Oreochromis niloticus: one gene and its partners. The protein of the gene in region 2 purifies or fractionates together with the protein of the main gene of each other region. This does not show direct contact. Links are inferred from orthologs where the notes say so. Each region holds a gene or a part of one and is shown on either strand. Other genes may lie near its edges. The genes, in order: rpl35a, ptpn6 and kdr.

Region 1 (7,480 bases), on a different chromosome or scaffold from region 2:
CAGCTGTGGCTGGCGCTTCATGGTGAATAAATCAAACTTCAGGACCGAGCATGCTCAGACGGCGCTCTGAGCCGGAGCAGGTCAAAGTTCGCACTTTTGCTCCTGAAGCATGCAGAGAACACAGAAACGCCGCAGCAGCAGAGAGGCGTCTGTGAGGTCGTGACCCCAGCTGTTGAGGTCATGTGACTCACCACTCTGACTCTGTGTCCGATGGCTTTGGCTGGCAGGTTGCTGCTGAACTTTGCTCGCACCATCCCACTGCTTCCGTGCGCCCGGGTCACCTTCCCCCAGATCACACGGGTCTTGTTGGGCTTCCCGCCGGGTGTCACCGTGTTCCTGCGCACACACACACACACACACACACACACACACACACTTAGAAACACGCCAACCTTAACAGTAAATGAAAGATGGCGGTGCGGCAGCTCACTTTTTGGCCTTGTAGACGTAGGCGCAGCGTTTGCCGAGGTAGAAGTCGACTTCGTCCCGGCTGTAGCAGCCCTCAAGCTTTAGCAGCGCCGTGTGCTCGCGCTGGTTCCTCAGGCCGCGCTTGTAGCCCGCAAAGATGGCCTTACTCCACAGTCTGAAAGAGAGACAGCATCAGACATCAAAATCACCACCACCACCTGCTGCCACGCCCCCAAATCTGACCAATGGAAAGAGTTGCTCACGCTCCAGACCGAGCCCGACCGAAGGTTTCACCAACGTCAAAGCATGGTGTTTCTTTTTTGCCCAGACATCAGCTGATGGAGCGCATCCACGCCGCCACGGCTCACACTTCCATCACACGCAGAATCTGCACGCCACAGTCGCCAAACGCAGGAGGCGGGAAATAAATAAATCACAACAACGAAGCTACCCTCCGTATTTCTTTGACATCATCGTTAACCCGCTCAGTTCCTGATTCACGCCAACAGCCCAGAATAAAAGCCCCAATCCAAACTCGGCGTTCCCAGTCCACAGCCTGTAAATAAAAGATGTACACTGCCCATCACAGCAGACCTTAAAACATCTGAAGCCAATCAAACCTGCAGAATGATCAGTAAACAGACTGATCAATCAGCCCAGAAACAGCTGACACGATCAACATCGTCAATAAGCTGGAGTGGGAGGAGCCACGGGTGAACCTGACCCCCAGAGGCCTGTGGCGCTCTGGACTGAGACCAATCAAGATCAATGACATCAAGTATTAATTTATCTGCTGTCAGCATCCAAAAACAACCAATCAGTACTCCAGTTCTCATTGATCAGAGCCAAAGCGTGACCCACTCCACCAGCTGATGTCACTGTGGTTATTTCACCCTGCTCCTCCGATCTGTGAGGCTCGGGGGTCGTGACCCTGCACCTGCTTCACCTGCATGCTCCGCAGATCATCAGCAACGACCTGCTGACAGCGCCCTCAACTGTTTCTATAGCAACCAGGACCCAACTCTAAGGTGTTTACGTGTGAACGAGGAAAACAGATTTAGTCACGCAACATCAAAGGTGTGCGACACGTTACTGTTCACATGAGATGAACTTCTACAGTGACAGAAACAAAACACTGCTGCTGTTACACAGAGTTACTGTCCCTCTGTTTACAACAACGGCAATTATGCTTACTCTTTCCCTCCCAGGCTTCTGATTGGCCAACATTTCAACAATGTTAGGATTACATCGGCACCTGTTGCTTTGGCATGCTCTTGACAGCGTTTCCCTGTTTTTTGCGTTTACACAGGTACTTTTTCAGCCTAAAACGCTCCATCTGTGAACCTCCAACCATGACATCATCACCATCAGCGTCTCTGCAGCGAGGAACAGCAGCTCTGACAGATCACGGCCTGTTTGAATAAAACTTTATTAAACCCATCCCAGAATCACTGCACAGCAGACAGGAAGTCGCTCTGCACTCACGGTTAACTCGCTTCCTGTTAACACCCGTCTGCCCTCACCTGTTTCAGAGCTTCAGCAGGTTACATCACTCACACAGACATACATCATGTGAGCACAGAGTGAAATGATTGGCACTCACCTTCCAGGCATCTTGGTCGTTGTGGTATTCTTCAGGTGACTTCACCTGCACAGAAACAATCACATTAACACCTAAAACCTACTGCAGCATCACATGATCGACCGGCTCATGAGAGCTACGGCGCCGGTAACCAGCATGTTTTCTTGAGCTCTAGACTTTGTACCCGCAGTGTTTTCAGGAGGATACATCACCATGGCAACCAATAATACGACTTTATAGTGCCGGGCCCTGATAACTGTAGGTAGGTTTAGTCAGCTATGACCTTACAAGTGGAACACTGAGCATGCTGTTCTGTGACCTGATGCATTTACTGCTCTTAAAAAACATTTTATGTGGAATCAACATGTGCCACGCTACCAGGTAAAAAGTCACGTGACTTATTCAGAGGCATCTTGGACCACAGGTCAAGTGTCTGAGGTTGTCACAGAAACAGTGCCGTTTGGAATCCGTGTGATTCTGCGGTCAGCCCGTCACTGATCGATAACCGATGGCTCCCTTCATACAGCACCTAACCTAACCTAACATTCGGCTCTTTCCGTCTCATTATTTCACGAGAAACTACGAGAATTGGAGACAGCTCAGGCCGGTGGCTCCTCAGGTTTGACGCGTTTATCGGGGGAGCTCCAGCCCGCTGCGAGCACCGGGGCTCCCACACACGCTTTCCTTACCGCACGTGTGCGGGAGCCGGCACGCGCAGCTCGGAAGCCGCTCGGTTAACCCCGGCCCTGCGCTTCGTTAGCCGAGGCTAGCTTCGTTAGCCGAGGCTAGCTTCGTTAGCCGAGGCTAGCTTCTCTATCCGGAGCGAATCTCCGCCATCAGCAGCTCAAGCGTAGACACAGACTAACCGAGCAGCGCCGGGGCTCCTGCTCCGGCCCCCCGGAGGACTATCAGTTGCCCACCGAGCAGATTAACGGGCATTTTTCAAGAATGTGCCGGCGGACATGTTGACTCGTACCTGCACCGCGTCCGAAGAGAAGGAGAAAAAGGAAGAGCGAAAGGGATGCTGGGAAATTAGTGTAAACAGAGGTGCCCACGGAGCTGCCTGAATAGAAAGGCTCGTTTTATTTATTTTATTTTTAGATTTTAATGTAATCAAAGAAACAATTAAAAACACTTTTACAGAGTTTCATAATACACACGTTAATAATAATAATAATAATAATAAATGTTTATGGCTTCATGTTTTTGTCTTTGTTAATGTAATATTTTTAAAGTTAATTTTCAAAATCCACCGCATGAACGTGCTTTATTGAATATGATAATAATAATAATAATAATAATAATAATAATAATAATAATAATGATGATGTAACCTATTCAGTCACCCTGGCCATAAACTGTTCAGACTACTTCCATCAGGCAGGAGGTTCTGCAGTATCCGGTCCTGAACCAGCAGACTGAGAGACAGCTTTTTCCAACAGGCCATCAGACTGCTGAACACTTCATAGACACCTCACCTTCACTTACCGTAACTTCAACATTATGCACTCCATACTGTACATGAATGCCACTTGTTTTGCACCTCTGTATATTTTATTTTCATTTAATTTTATATATATGTATACACACACACACACACACACACACATATTTAGTATACATATTCAGTAATGTGCATATACATATATTTGTACTCAGATTCCCATTCTTATATTTTGCTTGCTCTTATGTTTCTTGTATTTTGCACACCTCTGTTGCTTGTGAAGCTTCCACACAAGAATTTCATTCGCATGTACTGTACCAGTGTACCTGCACATGTGATGTGACAATAAAAGTGATTTGATTTGAAATGACATTGAATTAAAATACAAATATTTGACTTTATTGTATCAATAAGAGGGCGGACTTGTGACTGTGTGGTGATTGGTCTGAACGGCAGCGTTACCTGTTTACCCAGAACTCCAACGTTGATTACAGTCTGTTTTCTCTGAGCTTCTCCATCAGCTGTCTCACCTGCAGACACCTGAGGTCTGCACTATGAAGTAGGATTGAGTCTTATCCGATGTCACCCCAGGAACAAACACCATTCCCCAGAAACTGCTGATGTCCTTTGGCTGCCCAGCGACAGCGTGAGGTGCTATCACCCCTGTGTGTACGCAGAGCTGCACGGCTCCACTGCCTCAGGAACGCAGAGGCCCTCATCTCCAGCTACGACCTGCTCCATCTGCCGCTATCAGCAGGAGACACCAGAGCAGTGAAACTCAGGCTGAGGCCCGGCTTCCGTCTCATAGCCTCCACAACACTAAATCCCACCCAGCAGATGCTGTTGTGTGCAATATGTTTTTGTTGTTTAACTAATGCTTTACTTTATGTGTATATGTTGACCTTTTTATATCCTTTACTGTTTTGCTCTTCCTTTCCTTTTCATACTTTGTTTTGTTCAGTAGTGCAGGGGGCGGAGCCTGATGTCATTGTTACAATCAAAGCACACTTTGGGGTTCCACTCATGTCATCATCTAAGATGGTCATGATGATGATGATGATGGCAGACTGTGCAGCTCCCCCCGCTCCCATCTCCACACACACACACAAGCTAATAACTGATGGGATGTCTGTTTGTTACCTGCTGCCATAACAACAAGATGATGTCATTATATATTCTTATTGTTTTCAGTGATGTATATTTTTCTTCTTACTGCTCCTATGTTGTCTTGTAAAAGCTGCTTCTTTCCCTGGCTCTTGCATCTTCAATATAATGATGAATAAACACTCATTAATGAGGAAACCATAAAGTCACTCTTTCATCACAAGAGCGTTTGGAACAGCTAAAATCATCAGCTCTGTTTCACACCTCGACATTGAAAGATGATCCATGGAGCTGGCAGTCAGGTCACCACCAGAGGGCGCTGTGAGCTGGAACAGCCTCACATTAAAGCAGAGCTCTGCTTCGTCTCACAGTGAAGCAGGTGAGTGAGGCTCAGGTTACACGCCTGCCCACTGACACGTGAAGTCTGATCAACACCTCACTCCTTAAACAGATGACCTTCATCATCAACATCATCTTCATCAGGGCTGGGCCATCGCTCCTTACCAGCTGACCAGCATCTGAACCTTTCAATGACCCAGTGAGCTGATGATGGTGCCCTCTCTGTTCTCACCTGTCATTAATCTCTCTCTTCCACAGCATGTCTTTATCCTGTCTTCCTTCCCTCACCCCAACCGGTCGCAGCAGATGGCCCCGCCCCTCCCTGAGCCTGGTTCTGCCGGAGGTTTCTTCCTTTCCACTGCTGCCAAAGTGCTTGAAGTTTTAGGATTAAAGCTGAATTTAAATAAATGTGAAATTCAGAGTCAAGGATTTGGGAGGTGTGATTACTGTGTCTGATAAGGAATGATATGACACCGTTTAAAGCAACATGTTACCTGGGGCTTCAGAGCTTCCTGTGAGGACACTGCTGCACGTACTGTAATAAACCATGCTGTTTAATAACACCCTCACTCCAGGACACTGCAGCATCAATGGGAGCACACACTGCGTGTCATTAAAGAATGTAAAGTCAGACTGTTCTTCATAAACAGCCCTGATGTGACACGTCGTAGCTCGTCCAATGGAGTCATGAATACTTTCAGTCATGAATCGGTGTTATATTATATTAGATGGCACTTCCTGTCCCAGCGCCCTGACCCGGGAACAGACTTGCAGACGTGACGTTCATCTGTGACAAATATTTCTACTTTATTCACAGAAACACAAAAAACCACCAAGGAGAGAAAAACAGAAAACATAGGAAACATTTACAGTATGAACACAATCAGCTGATGGCGTTCTCGTTTTTTGGCCACATGTTTTTCACCACTTCCTGTGTGTGGTGTTGACACAATAAAAGCATCAAAGCCATATTATAATATTTATTTTATGACTGAAACAGCAAAAACACACGAGTGGAAAAACAGCCGCCCATCTGACAGCCCGTTACGTGACCCGCTGCTGCCACAAGACGAGCGCCTGAAGAAGAAAACATTTGTACATCATCACCTGTCTGAAACCTCTAAGCCGCCTCACCTGTCCCATCAGGTTCACTCAGGTCTCAGGTGAGTCCACTGAAGATGAGCTGATTGGTGGAGGTGGTTCAGGGGGCGGGGCCCAGCCTGCTTGTCATAATTCAGGTTGTTCAAGTTGTGCTCTCATGCTGAGACTTCAGCAAGTGTTTAGTGTAGTGTCAGCATGCTGATGTCCTACGCCACCTGAACACAGCACCAGCCCCTTTTACTCATCTTTACAGTTTAAATTAAAAACACAGTCTTCTCCTCCGGTCAGTGAAGCAGCAGCAGCTCAGATACGTGACATCACTGTACACAGAGGCCATGCCCACTGTAGGACGGCAGGCTCACTGTGCTGCAGTTCCTCTAATGTCCAGCAGAGGCAGCAGTGAGTCAGCCCCACACACGTTTACAGCCTGATACACAAACTGTCCGGCCCGTTCATGACACCTGTTTGCATTATTAGGGGCGTGGCTTCTGACTGAAAGGTGGATGGTGACACAGGCGGCTACAGCTGCTAGCAGTCTGCTTCACCTGAACTGCACCTCCTGACTGTGTTTGTGCAGTTGGAGCCTTTTGGAGCTCCAGTTGGAGTGAGACGCTAAGCAGGTATCGCTTTGATCACTGTTGTCAGGACAAACTTTTATAAATAAAATTACAGTACAGCAGCGGTTTGCTTACTTCACTGACAGGAGAAGAACCCCCCCCCATGGTTGCCATGGCAACACGAACATCTCTGTTGTCATAGTAACACCCAGGTTTCGGCCTCATATACAGAGCATCATCAGTACGTTTCTATTTACAGGATATAATTGTACACAACAGTCGGGCCACCTTTACAAGGTGAAAAACGTCCCAGCATGCAACAGAAACCACCCGATCACCCTCATCTGTACATGTGACAAAGGTCCGATCAGGTGATCACAAAGCCAGGTCACATGATTGACCTAAACCACAGTGACATTAGTAAAAACTATACAGAGACGACATCCTGCCATTCAGAGTTCAGGGTTCAGACATCCTCCTCTTCATCAGCGGCAAGATGAAAGTGTTCACCATAATAAGGAAAGATGGAGACGAACAGAGCCGAACCGAACCACACTTTGCCCTCGCTGCTTCTTTTGGGCTATTATTAACTGTGAGCAAGTAGCTCACAGGTGGATGAGTGGCAGAAGAGTGGCCCCGCCCCCTAAAGCAAAACTAAAAGCATAAAAAAAAAATAAATAAAACTAAAACTAAATAAACTTTAAAAAAAACAAAAACAAAAAGGAAAAATAAATAATTACTTTGACAATATCAGTACTGGGCATGCTCAAACCCAATACTGTAACATTAGCATTTAGCAATCATGCTATAAACTAAGCCATCGTCGACTGTTTTCAGATTAGAAACAAGCTGTTACCTTCACCTGACTTCATCTTAGCTACCCTCTGTGGTTAGCTCGACATAAGAGTACCATTAGTGTTAGCTTTCTTTACCAGTTAGCCGTGT
Region 2 (7,550 bases):
CAGTATGTTGCAATGCATCAAACTGTTTCTGTTTAGAGGAATTTACAGTACACGCACTTCTGCTCTGCTCATTAAAGGCCTGAAGAGCTAAGATAATATTAGTGATTGGTGACAGAAATTGTTCTTTTAGCCTCACAATCACAACTTCTTTGTTTCTAAAAGTGAAGAGTTGTTCCTCTCTCTTTTTGTATGTTTCAAACTAAATGCCACCGCTTTGATTGGGGAACAGTCGGGCAGCATTTAGGCTGCATTTCCTACCAAATATTGCTTTGAGCTTTTGCCTTTAGCGCTGCTTTAATTCTTAGTGGCATAGATTCAACAAGGTTCTGGAAACATTCCTCAGAGATTTTGGTCCATATTGATCTGACAGCATCACACAGTTGCTGCAGCTTTGTCAGCTGCTCATCCATGATGTGAACCTCTCATTCCAACACATCCCAAAGGTGCTCTATTGGATTGAGAGATGGTGACTGTGGAGGCCATTTGAGTACAGAAAACTCATTGTCATGCTCAAGAAACCAGTTGTGAGCTTTGTGACATGGCACATTATCCTGCTGGAAGCCGACATCAGAAGACGGGCACACTGGTCATAAAGGTCAGCAACAACACTCAGGTAAGCTATGGTGTTCATGCTCAGTTGGTATTAAGGGTCCAAAGTGTGCCAAGAATTAATCCCTGCATCATTACACCACAACAGCCACTTTAAATGTTGATACAAAGCACGATGGATCCATGCTCTCGGGCTGTTTACACCAAATTCTGACGATATCATCTGAATTTTGCAGCAGGAATAGAGACTCATCAGATGAGGCGACGTTTTTCTAATATTTCATTGTCTGGTTTTTGTGAGCCCATGTAAATCATAGCCTCAGTTTCCTGTTCTTAGCTGACAGGAGTGACAACTGGGTGTGGCCTTCTGCTGCTGCTGTAGCCTATCTGCTTCAAGGTTCAGCATGTTGTGCATTCAGAGATGCTGTTCTGTGGCTGTAATGAGTGGTTATTTGACCTACTGTTGCTTTTCTATGAGCTCAAAACAGTCTGTCCATTCTCTTCTAAGCTCTGACATTAACAAGGCACCACAGAGATGGTTGTGTGGGAAAATCACAATAGATCCAATAGTTTCTGAAATACTCAGATGAGCCTTCCTGATACCAACAACCAAACCATGTTCAAAGTCATTTAAATCACCTGTCTTCCTTGTTCTGATGCTCAGTTTGAACTTTAGCAGGTCATCTTGACCACATCTACATATAAGCTAATGCACTGAGCTGCTGCATTAAGAATTAATTAGACAGGTTTAGCTAATAAAGTATCTGGTGAGTGAATGTGTAGACTCTAATTTCCATATGTCTGTTACCTGATTTCCTAAAAAAAAAAAAAAATACTTTAAAAACAAAAGGCAAATCCCATTTGGACATGTTTGGATGTTTTCCAAGATTAATGACCCAATGCTTATTTTCCATATTATTACCCTTTATCTAACCAGGAAGTGACACTCTTGAAATAAAGAATCTCTTTTGTAAGAGTGTCATGCACTCATACAGGCAGGTTAAGGCACCCAGGGAGTTTTTCAATGCAAAGTAGAGAAAACCTGCATGACTAAGGGGGAAAATGCAAACTCTATACAGAAGTAATGCAAGTATGAGTGACAGGTAAGGGACTAAAGTGAGCAAATGTTTGAATACATTAGATCTGCTTTCAGAACTACACTGAATTATGACCTCCTTTTCTTCAGCCAAGCAAAAGTGAAGTCCAGAAGCCTGAGTTCAGTTATAAAGCCACCGCACAATATTTAAATCTTGCAACTACAATTCAAGACGCAGTGAATACTCGAGATATTTGCAGATCTGCTTTCAGCTACAATGCACCACAAAGACTGAAGGAAATCCAAACTGTCCTTAAACTACAGACTTTCACTCCCCTTGGGGATCTTGGAGCTTTATTACCTGTTTTTTCGGATTCGGACTGTGTTTTTTTTGTTCTCCCTGCTCATAATTTCCTGCTGTCATATCTCTGTTTCGCTTTTTTTGTTTTGTTTCCAAAGCTTACTGGTTAAATAAGTGTTTATAGCATATATATGAAAACGGCACTACAAACCACGATGTTCAGAAAAGACTTTTCCACCCACACTGTAACAACTGGAGTCATAAATGACAGAATCTACTCCATCAAATGATTCCAGTCGTATATTTAAAAGTGCCACTGGGATATTTTTAATCATGAATATGCCACCTGTCATGAATTTGTCGACTTCTCCGACAGCTTTTTGTATTTTTAATAGGACCATGTCCCTTTGCACTGCTTCCAAGCACTTTGCTTTCTATTGTGTGCCTTTCTCTTGTTTTGTATATATTCCTTTAGGCTGTATATATCTCTTCTGTTTGCCGTTTATTCCTGATTTTTTTACTATTTATATTTGTTTTTTGCTCCTGCACAGTTGGTGTGGAGCACCCGTTGTACATGTACAATGACAGTAAAGAGCTATTCTATCTATCCATTAGTGTGGCAATTTTTTAAACATTGTAATCTCTGACTTTACTGTAATTTTCCACTTATAATCATCACATTTTACTATTCTGCTGTGAACTAGCAGAATACTAACTACTGTTTATGCAAATACTCATAAAAATGATGGAAAACTATAATTAATTACATTAGGACAGAATATCTGTCATGGATTAGGGAAGCCGTATAGGTATAATAAGCACAAATAAAGCCATTTAAAAAAGCATTCTTGTATAAAATATTGTTTTAAAAAAGTTAGTAATTTTAGCATTTAACACTGCTTGGTGGTTTGAGGGTTAAGCATATCCTCCAAAGTCTTCAAAGAGACAGAAAAGAACAGACAAAGCATAAAAAGTAAAGTAGCAACAGTAGAAACAGGTAGAACAGAAGCTCAATTACAAAAAAAGGTTTTGCAAACACCTAAAAGCAGCAGCGGGAAAAGAAAATTAAATATTTGTCACATATGCACAAGAAACTTACCCACAAGACATTATGTGGACTCCACCCCCCCTTGCACTACGGCTAGTTTAGTCTGTACGAGGAAGTGATGGTTGGTTAAATCCCGATGATGAATATTCCTCCGCCACGGATCAGAGTAAAACTCACAGAGGGAATCAGGTTACTTTAACATTCAGCTCATGAATTTTGAGCGCAGGTTAAATCCCCTTTTTCCTTACACCCAGTCTCGCTCAAGTTTAGCCTTCCTCTCTGGCTCACTCTCTTTCATGATAAGATATCAGGCTTCATTACCGGCCCAGTAACCCTCCCGCCCTGTAATTTACTCCAATTTTCTTAATTAGGATTCTATCTGTGGAAGAAAATGTGCCTGTTCCTGCCCCGCTTCTTCTCTGCTCTTCCTCTAACAAACTCTTCCATACACAAATTCTCTCAGGTTTTTCCACCTCGCTGCATTTGCTTCCATGTAAATTCCACTTTGTCTTTCCAGGTTTGCATGCAAATTATGGCATGTTTTGTGTGCGAGAACAGTATCAGACTGTTCTGAACGTGCACTTTTTTTGTGCATGCAAACGTTACAAATTAAAGAAAAAACCTTCCTTAATGCAAGTTTTTTAACGCCCCTTTATAAAAAAATAAAAAGGAAAATAATAATCTATGACCATCTGAGCCACTTCGTGACAGCGCGGCTGAACATGTATGGCCAACTTCCTTTAAAATGGTCCCTGAACACCTTGAAACCTAACTTAGAAACAAGAGTGGATGTGTAGTAAGGCCTCTGCACATTTGACGATATGGATTATCGTGTAATTTTAGCATAAAATTCCCTCTAGAAGAAACTGACCATTTGTTTTTAGTTTCTCTAACATTTTGATTGTATTTCAATGATAACTTGAAGCTAAAACTGTATATAAAGGGTCACTTGATAAATAAGATATAACTTATCTGAATCATTTTCTTTTTTTGCTGATATTAACTCAAAATAAGGTTTAAAAAATCTCCTGGAAGTCACACCTCTTCCACCATCTTTCATTTCCCCCCAGGTTTCAGTTCAGGAGTGTTTTTTGGTTTTTTTTTAACTTCATTTATTTCTGTCTCATAACTAGTTTTACTAAAGACACAAACCTCATGGTGACCTTAGAGGAAAAAGCCAGGAGGGTATCTCGCAGTCTCATTCGCGTACACGCAACTTGCGCGTGCATGTTGGCAAACAGGACAGGGACACGCCCCCTTCCCCCCCAGAAAGAACACATGGCTGAAGAAAGTAATTTAAGGTCATTTTCAGTGTTACCTGTGTCTCTTTAAACGGGAAATAAATGAAATGTTACTTTATTTATTTCACCGAGGTTTAAGTAAATCAATCGTTTTATACTTTGCTGTGAGTTAAAGACCTTTGTTTGTGTCTAGCTGACGGTTTAATTGAAATATGTATGTTTACATTTTCTATGACAGCCGGGCATTCATCATCCATGCAGATGCGTCTTCTGAGGCACTGCTCAAAAAATTAAGGAAGCACTCGATCATCCCAGTACGACACGGCGTCAGTTAAACTTCAGGGAAATCAATCTGTCCTGTTAGGAAGCGTAACCAATGTGAACACGATACAGAGGTGGAGAGGCAACAATGTGTCAAAAATGTGCCATCCTTGAGAAGCTGGATTACCGATGAACCTAAAATAACTGCAGGTACAATCACCTCATGCTAACTGTCGTTGCAAGGAGACGCAAAAAAGCAAAACCAGAGAAAATTGAGTTTTCTGTGTATATATATATATATATATATATATAGTGTCAGTGGCCACTTTGTTGGGTAAATTTGTTAAACTGATTGTTTAAATTGAGATTCGAGTAGCATGTCTACAACTCTGGTTTTACTAAAAATGAACCTATGAATAACGTGTCTAGTGTCTAAATAAATTTTAACAGTAAACCACGCAGAGTTTGGCGTTGTCACTCTTCACAGAACTTGCCATCCCTTTAGTATCAACGCTCACATGGCTAGAAACAGAAGTAGAAGAATGCAGTGCTCAAGAAAAAAAGGAGAACCAAACGTATATAATCAGTTTAAAAATAAAACGTGGTAACAATAAGAAACTGTTGAGTTTTTTTTATTGTAGTCCATAAAAACAAACAGCAATGATAAAAACAACAGGGTGGTAACCATAATAATAATATTCAATAATGCAAAACAACATAACAATAGACAGTAAGAAATTAAATTAACTTAAGATTGCCATCAACCTCAACGCCATCCCATGTACCTAAAAAGCTGGGGAGCTATTGCGAGTTTGTATTACAGGAGACTTCCCATGAAGCAAATCTGTGGTGCAGTTAGGAATGTCAAGGTGCTGTTTGGGTTTGTGAGCACAAAGAGTTGATCCCCGACTGGGTCACCCGTCGGATCAGGCAAGAGTTTGAGAAGGACGGAAGAAGAGGTAACAGATCTGACTGACTGACTGATACAAAAGTGACAGTAACACCTTCTCAGTGTCGGGGCATTCTGCAGTAGAGATGCATGTCACTATGCCCTGTTTAACACACACATACATACAAGAAAACACACACACCTTCACTCTCCATACACACATACAGATGAGGACATTAGAGTTAAATGACTTCTAAAAAAACATACAAACAAAAATTTCACAATTTCCTAAAGGTGAAAACAAGCACAATAAAATCCCTTGAAGTCTGGAATAATCCAAAAGTTACCACAAAGCACCAGTATACTCCAAACATGCTGCTTTCCCTCCGGTCTAAGCCTCTTCTGCTTCATTATACATATAGTTACACACACATGTTAGATCCTGCTGGAAGGACAGGTCAGTTCAGTGTTCAGGACAGAGGGGTTCAATCTGATTCCCAGTGGAGGAGAAAGACGTCTGTATCTAGTCTGCCGCAAAGAAAGAGAACCGATTCTTACATTCGCTCCCACCCTACATCTACAGTCCCAGTCTTTTCAAAATAAAGTCCAGCAGCACAGCTGATGCTCTTCTGAGTCCGGAGATGGGTTGTGGGTGCAGAGGAAGAAGTACTAACCTGACTGTGCTGTACATGGTGGCTGAGGGGGAGGAATTCTGCTACATGGCGGTGAGGTGAGTGCGACTGGCCTCGTTTGGGGAGTGTGAAATGTGCGAGGGGATTGGTCAGCGCGGCACCTGCATCTGCTGTGCGGTCTGTGATTGGTTCTGAGCGGTGACCTCGGGGCCCCGGCTGGCCAATCGGCTGAGAATATTCCTCTCGGACATTTGTAGCCGCACGGCCACGGGGGGTATCCTGGCGATGGTAGCTGGGAGACGGGTGACGTCGGCCTTCATGTCGCTCAGCAGTTCCTCGAGCTGTTTGAGAACTAGAAATGCAGCACAGAAATCGGCATAACAGGGGTGAGCAGTCAAATTTTGGTTTTTGGTTAAAATTAACAGCGTGGCATGCCAAAAAGCAGCAGGGGACAGAAAACAGTAAGGATGGGTTTGTAAAACTTTAACAGGAATCTTCCTGTTAAAAGGAAGTTTTTCCTTCCCACTCTCGCCAAAGTGCTGGCTCATAGGGGGTCGTACGATTGTTGGGTTTTTCTCCGTATGTATTATCGTAGGGTCTATCTTACAATATAAAGCGCCTTGAGGCGACTGCTGTTGTGAATTGGCGCTGTGTAAATAAAATGGAATTGAACTGAATTAAATATGGAGCACAAGAGTTACACAGTATCTCTCCTTCAGTACCATTTGTAACATTTCACCAACACTCATAAAATAACGACAAATATAAACCTTACACATTTCCCAGATTGAGCTCTGTGTGAAATCAAGCTTGGAGGCAAAAGTGTCTCATCTCGTTCCAGGCCCATTAAAGATGCACTGAATCCATATTTGTGAGTTTATAAGGCTCTTTTTCCTGAATTTGAGACAGTTTACCTCTAGACAACAATGTAATTGTACAGTGTGGATGCAGGGGTTTTTTGCACTTGATGCTAATTTTTGTTTATGGCGGAAATGTCTGTTTATGTAAAGTAAAACAATACTGGTGATGAGTTAAAATATGATGGAATATAATGGAGTTTTTGGACAAATATTTACTACAGATTGAAATGCATTACCTACACAGCCCTTTTCTCAGTCAGAAAACGTACTCTGGTAATTGAAGCAATTGAAGCGGAACTTTTAAAGCACTGAAGAATGTCCAATATGTCTGCCTTAAAAAATTTCCAACGCTCCCTCTGTTTGTTTTTAAACAGCGTGTGTAGCTGAAGTTGTCTACTGTCAAACAACTCAAAAAACCATGACCCAGACATGAAAAAGCAATTATTCTAATCGTTGTAGTGCAGTTTTTCAAAATAACATAGAGAATTGAAAAATACAGAGAAAGCATTTCAAAAACCAGAGCACCAAAAGCAAAACACAAGAAAAAAAACACATTACTTTCACCATTTCATCACCACTGGATTGTGAAATAAATACATTTCTTCATCATTCATTCACTATTCAAATGACCTTTAAACATTACTGTTTTCACCAGACTCACATGCTTCATCAGCTCCACGATGTCTTTTTTAAATAAATATAAAATATGTCGCATTATTGTTTCATGCCATTT
Region 3 (7,817 bases), on a different chromosome or scaffold from region 2:
TAAAGGGCTATGTTGAGGATTGCAGAGAAAGTTTGCTCTACAATCAAAAGTGAAACGGAGGTGTTCATGTAGGCATGAAGCTAATAAATTTTGAGTCATAGTTACTTTTACTGAAACACAGGAAGAAGAGATGACTTCATGAACAACTCTGAAACTACACACTTATTTTCAGAGCTATGACAATAGAAAAAGCTGAATGTTTACACTGGAAGAACGCTAGTTACTGCATTAGCAAAATTAGTAAACTATACATTTTACAAGGAGCTGGTGGTGGACTTCAGAAGGAGTCAGCACAGAGACTACAAGCCCATTTTCATCAATGGAGCTCCAGTGGAGAGGGTGCAGTCCTTCAAATATCTTGGTGTCCACATCTCCTCAGACCTGACATGGGCTGCCCACATTCAGGTCCAGACCAAGAAGGCTAGGCAGCGCCTGTATCACCTCCGACAACTAAGGAAGTTCAGGGTCTCTCCAAAGATCCTCAGGATCTTCTATACAGGCGCTGTGGAGAGTATCCTCACACAGAACATGACAGCGTGGTTCGGGAACAGCTGTGTGAAGGACCAAAAAGCTCTCCAGAGAGTGATCCGTACAGCAGAACGCTGCTGCAGGATTGCTCTCCCCCCACTTCAGGACACCTACACCAGGAGATGCCAGACTAGAGCAACGCAGATACTGAAGGACCCGTCCCACCCTGGCAACAAACTGTTCCAACTTCTACAATCTGGTAGAAGGTTCCGCATCATCCGGGCAAGGACAGAGAGACTCAAGAAGAGCTTCTATCCTCAAGCCATCCAGACCCTAAACCAACACACACACATCCTAATAACTTGTGTTTATGTACAGTTGTTGGAACTGATGATCTTGGAAACTGCAGATTTTTAGAAATGACTCCAAGATACCTTCCAAACTTGTGTAAATGTACACTTCTCCATCTTAAATCCAAAGTTCCTTGGGCTTTCCCATTGGTCCGAGTTTTGGTCAGTCCAATGAGTGTTGTCAAATAAATCTCTTTTATGCTAGCCTAGCGAAACTACCAGTTGTAGTCAATCATGATTACAAGTTAATAGGCCTTGGACATGTAAAGTTAAAAGACATTGTAGAACCTTCGGAACCTCTTATTAAAAGATTTAACTCAACGTATATATTTGAGCATGCATGTTTTTACTTTTGACTGTGTGGATCAAAGAAAAGACTAAATAAATTGAAAAATTGTGCACCTTATCTTTGTTTTGTTTTAATCATTAAAAATGAATGCTGTGTAATCATTAATAGCCAAAACTTAGCATGACATTCATCTCCAGGATGAAACTCCTGGCCACATCTGTATATGTCTAATCCTTACCTTACCTTAATTGTAATATTAAGCCTAAAACCAGGTCTTTTTTCAAGCCTGCCAGTGAACAGCTGCCAAAGAATACCAGCACCAAAAATTCCTAACTTTTAAAAAATGTTATCAAATGGCCATGTTTTTACTTAAATCCTATTCATTTATTGACTTGGTCTTCCTGTAAAATACAGTTACTCCTGTCAGATGTTCATGTTGTTTATATGAGGAGTTCTTGAGAACCCACACTGCACAGGCACCTTTTGAACAGAGACAATGACACGCATACATTTGCTGCATGTGATGAGGGCATGAATAAGTTCTAGGGTAGTTTTGCTGTTTGGCAAATCTTTCGGTGTGAAGTAAAAAGTTTGTTAAACCAGTTTCCCCAACACTAGCTTCTGTAAGGTGTATGCATAGTCTTACATACCTGCATGTTAGTTCAAGGCTGTCAGATTTGTTCATCCTATGGATGCCATAGATATTTAGTGTCGGTGGATCAGATATAAACCGCAGTTCCGCTGCTGGAGAGATTAACAGTACAAATCAGTCACAGCAACGACTAACTTTTAACACAGTCGGGGTGATGACATCAGTCTCTACAAACAATGATTAAATGAAGGTTTCAGAGATCATGGCCCTACTGTTTTAAACAAATGCACATAAGATTAAGATTAAATCAAAAGGCACAAGGTAAAAACTGAAAGTAGAGCACAGGAAAAAACAGTCTCCATTATAAGATGTGCTTTGTATCTGAGTCTCTGGCTACATAGGGCCCTTTTTCCATTGCTGCAGCAAATGGCGGAGCTGTGTGAAAACAGGAAGCAGGAGAAGATGGGCCGGGTCAGGCTCAATAGTCTAGCACAGTGTGCCTTAGGTGGGGTTCCTGTTTCTGAGGATACAGCCTGCCCACCACCTCCCTGTGAGGCCCTAAAGGACATAATGCATTGTATGGAAAAAAACAAAAAAAACAAAAAAGAAAAAACTAAGTGTTGAGCTGAGCTGATGAAGTGGGCCTTAATGATCTCAGAAGAAAAAAAAGTTTAAACTGTTGAACAACGTAGCACATCAGCAGAAACTAGTTACTTTTTACGTTTACATTTTACAACATAAAAACAAGTCATCAGGCCACAGTTCAAATGTTTTTGCTTAAATGTTTGAAGGTTTATCCTCTAATCCTCAAACTGGACTGCAGTTCTAAAGTGACAGAAAACATTCAGCAAAGACTAAAACTATAGAACAACTGAGGACAAAGTGTTTGAAATGTCTTAGAAAAGCGGCAAAAGCTTTTATAGAACTGCAGGGTGACTTTGAGTTGACAGATTTAAAAAAGAAAAAGAAAAAAAAAGATCAAACTTAGATCATAATCTAATATAATTCATGTTTTTCAGCTTAATTCGCTATTAAGGTAGACGATTAAATGGGGATAATATTATTATCTTACCAGCAAAACAAGTGATTTCCAGAATAATGCCCAGTAGTGGAATGACGGACAGTGTCTGCGCCATCATCCGACAAAAGACAAGGACAAAGTCCTCATCAAAGTCCAATTAATAACGTAACTGTAGAAATAATGATAATCCTACTGCCTCATTACCAATCCATTAAAAAAAGCTGTTTTATATTCCACCCCAGAGAAAGTTTGAAAGTCATGAAAACAGCCTGCAGTGGATGGTGATCAGCAGTGGCTAAAGTGTGACTGTGCGTGTCCCCATGGAGCTGTTGCGGCTGAGGATGGAGAGACGCGCCTCGGCTGAGCAGCCTGCCTGCAGGGGAGGAGTCTCTCTCTCTGACTCTCTGTAAAATTACCAAGGCGAATGCTGCCTGCAATAAACTTCTGGGCTTGTTGCCCAGTTGATGGGAGGACTTACTGAACTTTGAGAGAAACTTGGGAGACTTAAGAACTAGTGACAGCCAGGATGCATAACCCCCTGCTGAGGAGTCGTAAAAATGTTTACACCATAACTTTGACTCCTAGAGTAGTAATAATCATAAAATTTATAAATTTATTAAAAGGAAAATCCCATTACCAAAAGCATTAAGAAAACGTGTGTTCATAAGTTAGGGTTAAGGACCTGTTTTCACTCCTGCATAAAAGTAGAAAGAAGCCCAAGAGTTGCTTATTCTCGCCTCCATGTGACCTAAAGCAACATTAGCATGATAGGTCAGAGAACCAAAGCCATGAGGCCTAATAATAACTAAATTCTTGTTTCCTTGTAGATTCACTATTGCTACAACCCCCTTTATACAAACAGGTTACTATGGTTGAATGAGAATAATTTTATATTTTTTTACGCTTCTTCTAGAACACAGTTAAAACGCGCACACTTCGGGTGAGGCGTACATCTCCCTGCGAACAGACCCTACGCACTTCCATACAATCACACTGCTCCACACTTTTATCCTGCCGGAGTTGCTTTGGGTGATTCTCTGGCTACTTATGCTTAACAGCCACTTTGTTAGGAAAACCCTTTAAACTGTTCCCTAACGCAAATCTTCAATCAGCCAAACACGTGGCAGAAACTTACTGCATGTAGTTTTGGTGCATAACCGGAAAGTCGATTCTTTTCATCTGGGCGCAGTGTTTTCGGTGGGAGGACTGTAAATACAAGAAACAGTGGAAAGTACAATAGGTTTAATTCATGCGCTGAAATCGCTATATTAAAGACGCAGTTGAAAACGTATTCTTCGGCGATTAGAAAAATGTTTAAACATGTCCTTTGTGTGTGCTGCAGCTTGTGAACTTAAAAGAAAGACAATGGATATCGTGGATGTTGGTTAAATATGATTTTAATGTCATTTCTATACGAAGTCCCCCTCTTTACAAATACAGTATGGTGTTGTCTAACTGTGTAACAAAAGACTGCATTGATTATCATGAATTTGAAGATGCATTAAAAAAAATTCTCGATATTTTATAATCAAATAAAACAATATTAAGATATTCATAGAACAATTAATTAACCGTTTAATTAATTCATGTAATTCTGGAATTAATGTCACCTTAATAACCTGTGAATTTAAAGTATCTCATGATTCCTGAATACAGACATTAAGTAATGTAACAACTGTGTTACAATTTGGGCATTTTAGTCATCATGATTATTCACAAAAAAAGAAAAAAGCTATTTAGGCTTTTTCATGTAAGTTTGCAGTTCCTGGGACAGGCTGAAAATGGAGCAGTAATGGTGAAATGCAGTATGACTGACTAAACCTAACTAATGACTAATGTCCCTCCAATGCTGATCTGGTAGCTTTTTAATACTTGGAAATAAATTACAGCTGTAAAATAATCAAAGTATTAAGCTTTACTAGAGACACAGACTGGGCCTTTTTACAGGGTCAAATATATCTGTGGATCAGGTTCCATTGCCTGCCCAAAGATATCTGTTAAGGTTTGGAAAAAGAAACAGATAATCTGGGACAGTGCCAAAAACATGTCAGGAAAGCAGGGCGCAGCTTATACCAAACCCAAATGACATTTACATTAGGACTGCTGCCTTGAAAAGAGGAAAGGGATAAAGGTAATACCTGGAACTGATTAACATCAGATTGTGTCCCATTTTTGTATTTTTCCAGAACTTCAAACGTGTGATGAATGTAGTGCTTCATCTGATGAGGAGGGAGGAGGCTGTGTTTTGATGCTGGCGTGGATTCAGGAGGGTTGAGGGAGATGATTGAGGGCTGTGTGTTATGCGCTGCATCCACATGTTTCCTGGCCTGGTCACTTCTACTGGGACTCTCTGAATACTAAACTGCCTAGCTGCCTTGTAACCATCATTTCCTGGAGGACAGTCTACACTGAATTCCCTTCTGGAAAAGCTGGAATCAGAAACATTTTTCCATTTTTCTATCTCTGTTTATTTTCTAAATCCAAAGAGAGGTGATTGCTTTGAACTCTGGCCCACTCACAGACAAAGAGAAATGTTTTCATAGTTTAAAGCATTTGAGCAAAGGAGAGGAAAGAATGAGCAGTGTGTGGTTGTGTGGAAGAAAATATTTTACTGTATTTTGCAATTTTCCTGTAAAATTACAATAACATAATAATAATACTTGTTATTATTATTATTATTAGTAGTAGTAGTAGTAGTAGCGACTGCTAATTTGTCCTCCATTAAACTGTTGAACTAAAATCTACAAAAGAGATACATGGATAAAATGTGAGCTTAATGGTATAAGACTGTCAGCTGTTGTCAGCTGTGACTTAATTAGGTACAGCTGTCCAACCATTCGTTCAAGTAAATATCTAATCAATCACATGGAAGCAGCCCATTGTACTCAGACATTTAAACATGTTACAACCTACTGAAGTTCAAACTGAGCATCAGATGTGGCAGAAAGCTGATTTAAGTGATTTTGGTTGTTTGTGAATAAGAGAGGCTGGTCTGTGTATTTCAGAAACTGATGATCTGCTCAGCTTTTCCCAGCAGATCATCAGTTTCTGAAATACACAGGCCAGCTTCCCCAGGACTTACATAGAATGCCCCCCGATATCCACTGAGCAGCAGTTCACTGGAAAAAATGTCTTGCTGATGACAAAGGTCAGGGGAGAATGGTCAGACTGGTTTGAGCAACACAGCAGCTGTTCAAAGCACTCAATGCAAGTATGTAGAAGAGCATCTCCTTATATGAACTTTGAATATGTTGAACTTTGAATCAGATGGACCACAGCAGCAGAAGACCACAATGTGTGGCAGTCCTGTCAGCTAGGACAGGAAATGGGAAACTGAAGGGCTAACAAGGCCTCAAAATCGGACAACAAAAGATGTGAAAAATGTTGCCTGGTTGATTTCTGCTGCCATATTTTGACAGTAGGATCAGAATTTGATCTAAATGCATTTATGGTTCAGGCTGGTTGGAGTGACGTAATGGCATGGCGGATATTTTCATGAAACATTCTGGGCTCCTTAGCACTTACTGAACATCATTTAAACACCATAGCCTTCCTGAGAATTGTTGCTGAACATGTCTGTTACGACCCGGTTTTGCTAGGGGACAGGGAAGGTGGCATAAACGAGACCCTCACGAGGGAGATCAGTTAAGACAAAGTTTTATTTACAGAAAAAAACTCAGAACTGAAAACCGATAGCGACATTTACTACAAACCACAAGGCAAATAACCAATACAAAAATAACTTGCTCATGTACAAGTAGAAATTAAAGCTAGCCTCATGGGCTGTAACATGACTAAACGCTATTCAAACAAATTCCACACCTTAAACAGGGTTTCACAAGCTAGGCTCACAGACTGTGGGGCAAACTGCACATTCAGTTCAAAGCAGCAGCCCCTGAATGAAAGTTCTTCAGCCCTTTTGAAGGCACAGGTGTGCACAATTGGTTGCAGATTGATCTCTCTCCCTGGAGGTGCAAACCACAGGTCTTCAGGCAGCCAATTGTCTGTGTGGATTGTCACATTCGAATTGACATGCAGGAAGGCTAGCACGGGTTCCCAGACAGCCAATCGTCTGTCGGTGTTGTCACGGTTGAATTGGGGGGATTGAATTTGTCACGGTTGAATTTGCTTGAAGGAAGGCTAGCTCACTTCTTCCAAGGCCAGGAGCCATAACAATGTCCATTCCCTTATGATCACAGTGAACTGTCTTAAGATAAGATAAGATAACCTTTATTAGTCCCACACGTGGGAAATTTGTTGATGGCTTCTGATGGCTGGTTCCAGCACAATGTCACAAAAGTCAAATCAAATCAAACTGGTTTCTTAAACATGACAGTGACAGTGTACTGAAACTGCCTCCACAGTCACCAGATCTAACTCCAGTAGCTCTTTGATATGTGTTGAACCAGGAGATTGGCAACATAAATGGGCAGCTGACAAATCTGCAACAACTGTGTGATGCTATCATGTCAGTATGGACCCAGATCTCTAGCACTAGTTGAATCTATGTCAAAAATAGCTAAGGGAGTGCTGAAGGTAAAAGGAGGACCACCTAGTAAGGTGTAACTAATGAATCTATACTTTGAACCTGTACCCTGTGTTCAGGTTTTTGTCTTTCCTGGACGAAAAATTACAATACCCCATATCACAGGTGCATGGCTGCTTCTGTATGGCTGTCACGGTTCTGGGCCATTGACACATTATTTTGAGTTTTGTTCTGGATTTTTTGTTGATTTCTTTGAAAGTATAACATAAATGATGTTCTATTTCCTAAGTATGTTGAGTTGATTATAGTTGATTTCTTGTTTTATGATTTTAGTTCCCCCTTTGTGTCCAGTCTATCTCTGTTTCATCTCTGTCCTGTCATCAGTGTCCCCATGTTTGTTTACTTCCATAAGTTCACACACTATATAACTATATCACACATCCATAACAATCATGTACTAAATAACCATTGCAAAAATGTTAAATGAATGACTGTAACTTAAACATTTACACTGGAATATGCCTTTGGACTACTTAACATAAATATGGCCCTAATATTATGGGCAGAAATCTGTGCCATCAGAAACTGAATTTGAATAAGTTAAATTTGAA

Evidence for each region.
Region 1: the proteins of ptpn6 (region 2) and rpl35a purify together in Homo sapiens (affinity purification with mass spectrometry; 3 studies listed by BioGRID and IntAct, with this or other methods). This does not show direct contact. The link is inferred for Oreochromis niloticus from reciprocal best matches to the Homo sapiens genes PTPN6 and RPL35A.
Region 3: the proteins of ptpn6 (region 2) and kdr purify together in Homo sapiens (affinity purification with western blotting; 3 studies listed by BioGRID and IntAct, with this or other methods). This does not show direct contact. The link is inferred for Oreochromis niloticus from reciprocal best matches to the Homo sapiens genes PTPN6 and KDR.

What each region holds. Positions count from the first base shown.
Region 1 is NC_031979.2:39,856,497-39,863,976, reverse strand, and holds the start of rpl35a (large ribosomal subunit protein eL33), read right to left. Parts: upstream 3,063-7,480; 5' UTR 2,967-3,062; intron 2,057-2,966; 5' UTR 2,023-2,056; coding exon 2,012-2,022; intron 584-2,011; coding exon 431-583; intron 337-430; coding exon 192-336; intron 1-191.
Region 2 is NC_031976.2:23,272,475-23,280,024, forward strand, and holds the start of ptpn6 (tyrosine-protein phosphatase non-receptor type 6), read right to left. Parts: upstream 3,012-7,550; 5' UTR 2,997-3,011; coding exon 2,986-2,996; intron 1-2,985. Other genes in the region: chd4b (chromodomain-helicase-DNA-binding protein 4), read right to left, coding at 6,107-6,309. UniProt on the Homo sapiens protein: Tyrosine phosphatase enzyme that plays important roles in controlling immune signaling pathways and fundamental physiological processes such as hematopoiesis.
Region 3 is NC_031986.2:37,676,537-37,684,353, forward strand, and holds the start of kdr (vascular endothelial growth factor receptor 2), read right to left. Parts: upstream 3,084-7,817; 5' UTR 2,839-3,083; coding exon 2,772-2,838; intron 1,852-2,771; coding exon 1,758-1,851; intron 1-1,757. UniProt on the Homo sapiens protein: Tyrosine-protein kinase that acts as a cell-surface receptor for VEGFA, VEGFC and VEGFD. Plays an essential role in the regulation of angiogenesis, vascular development, vascular permeability, and embryonic hematopoiesis.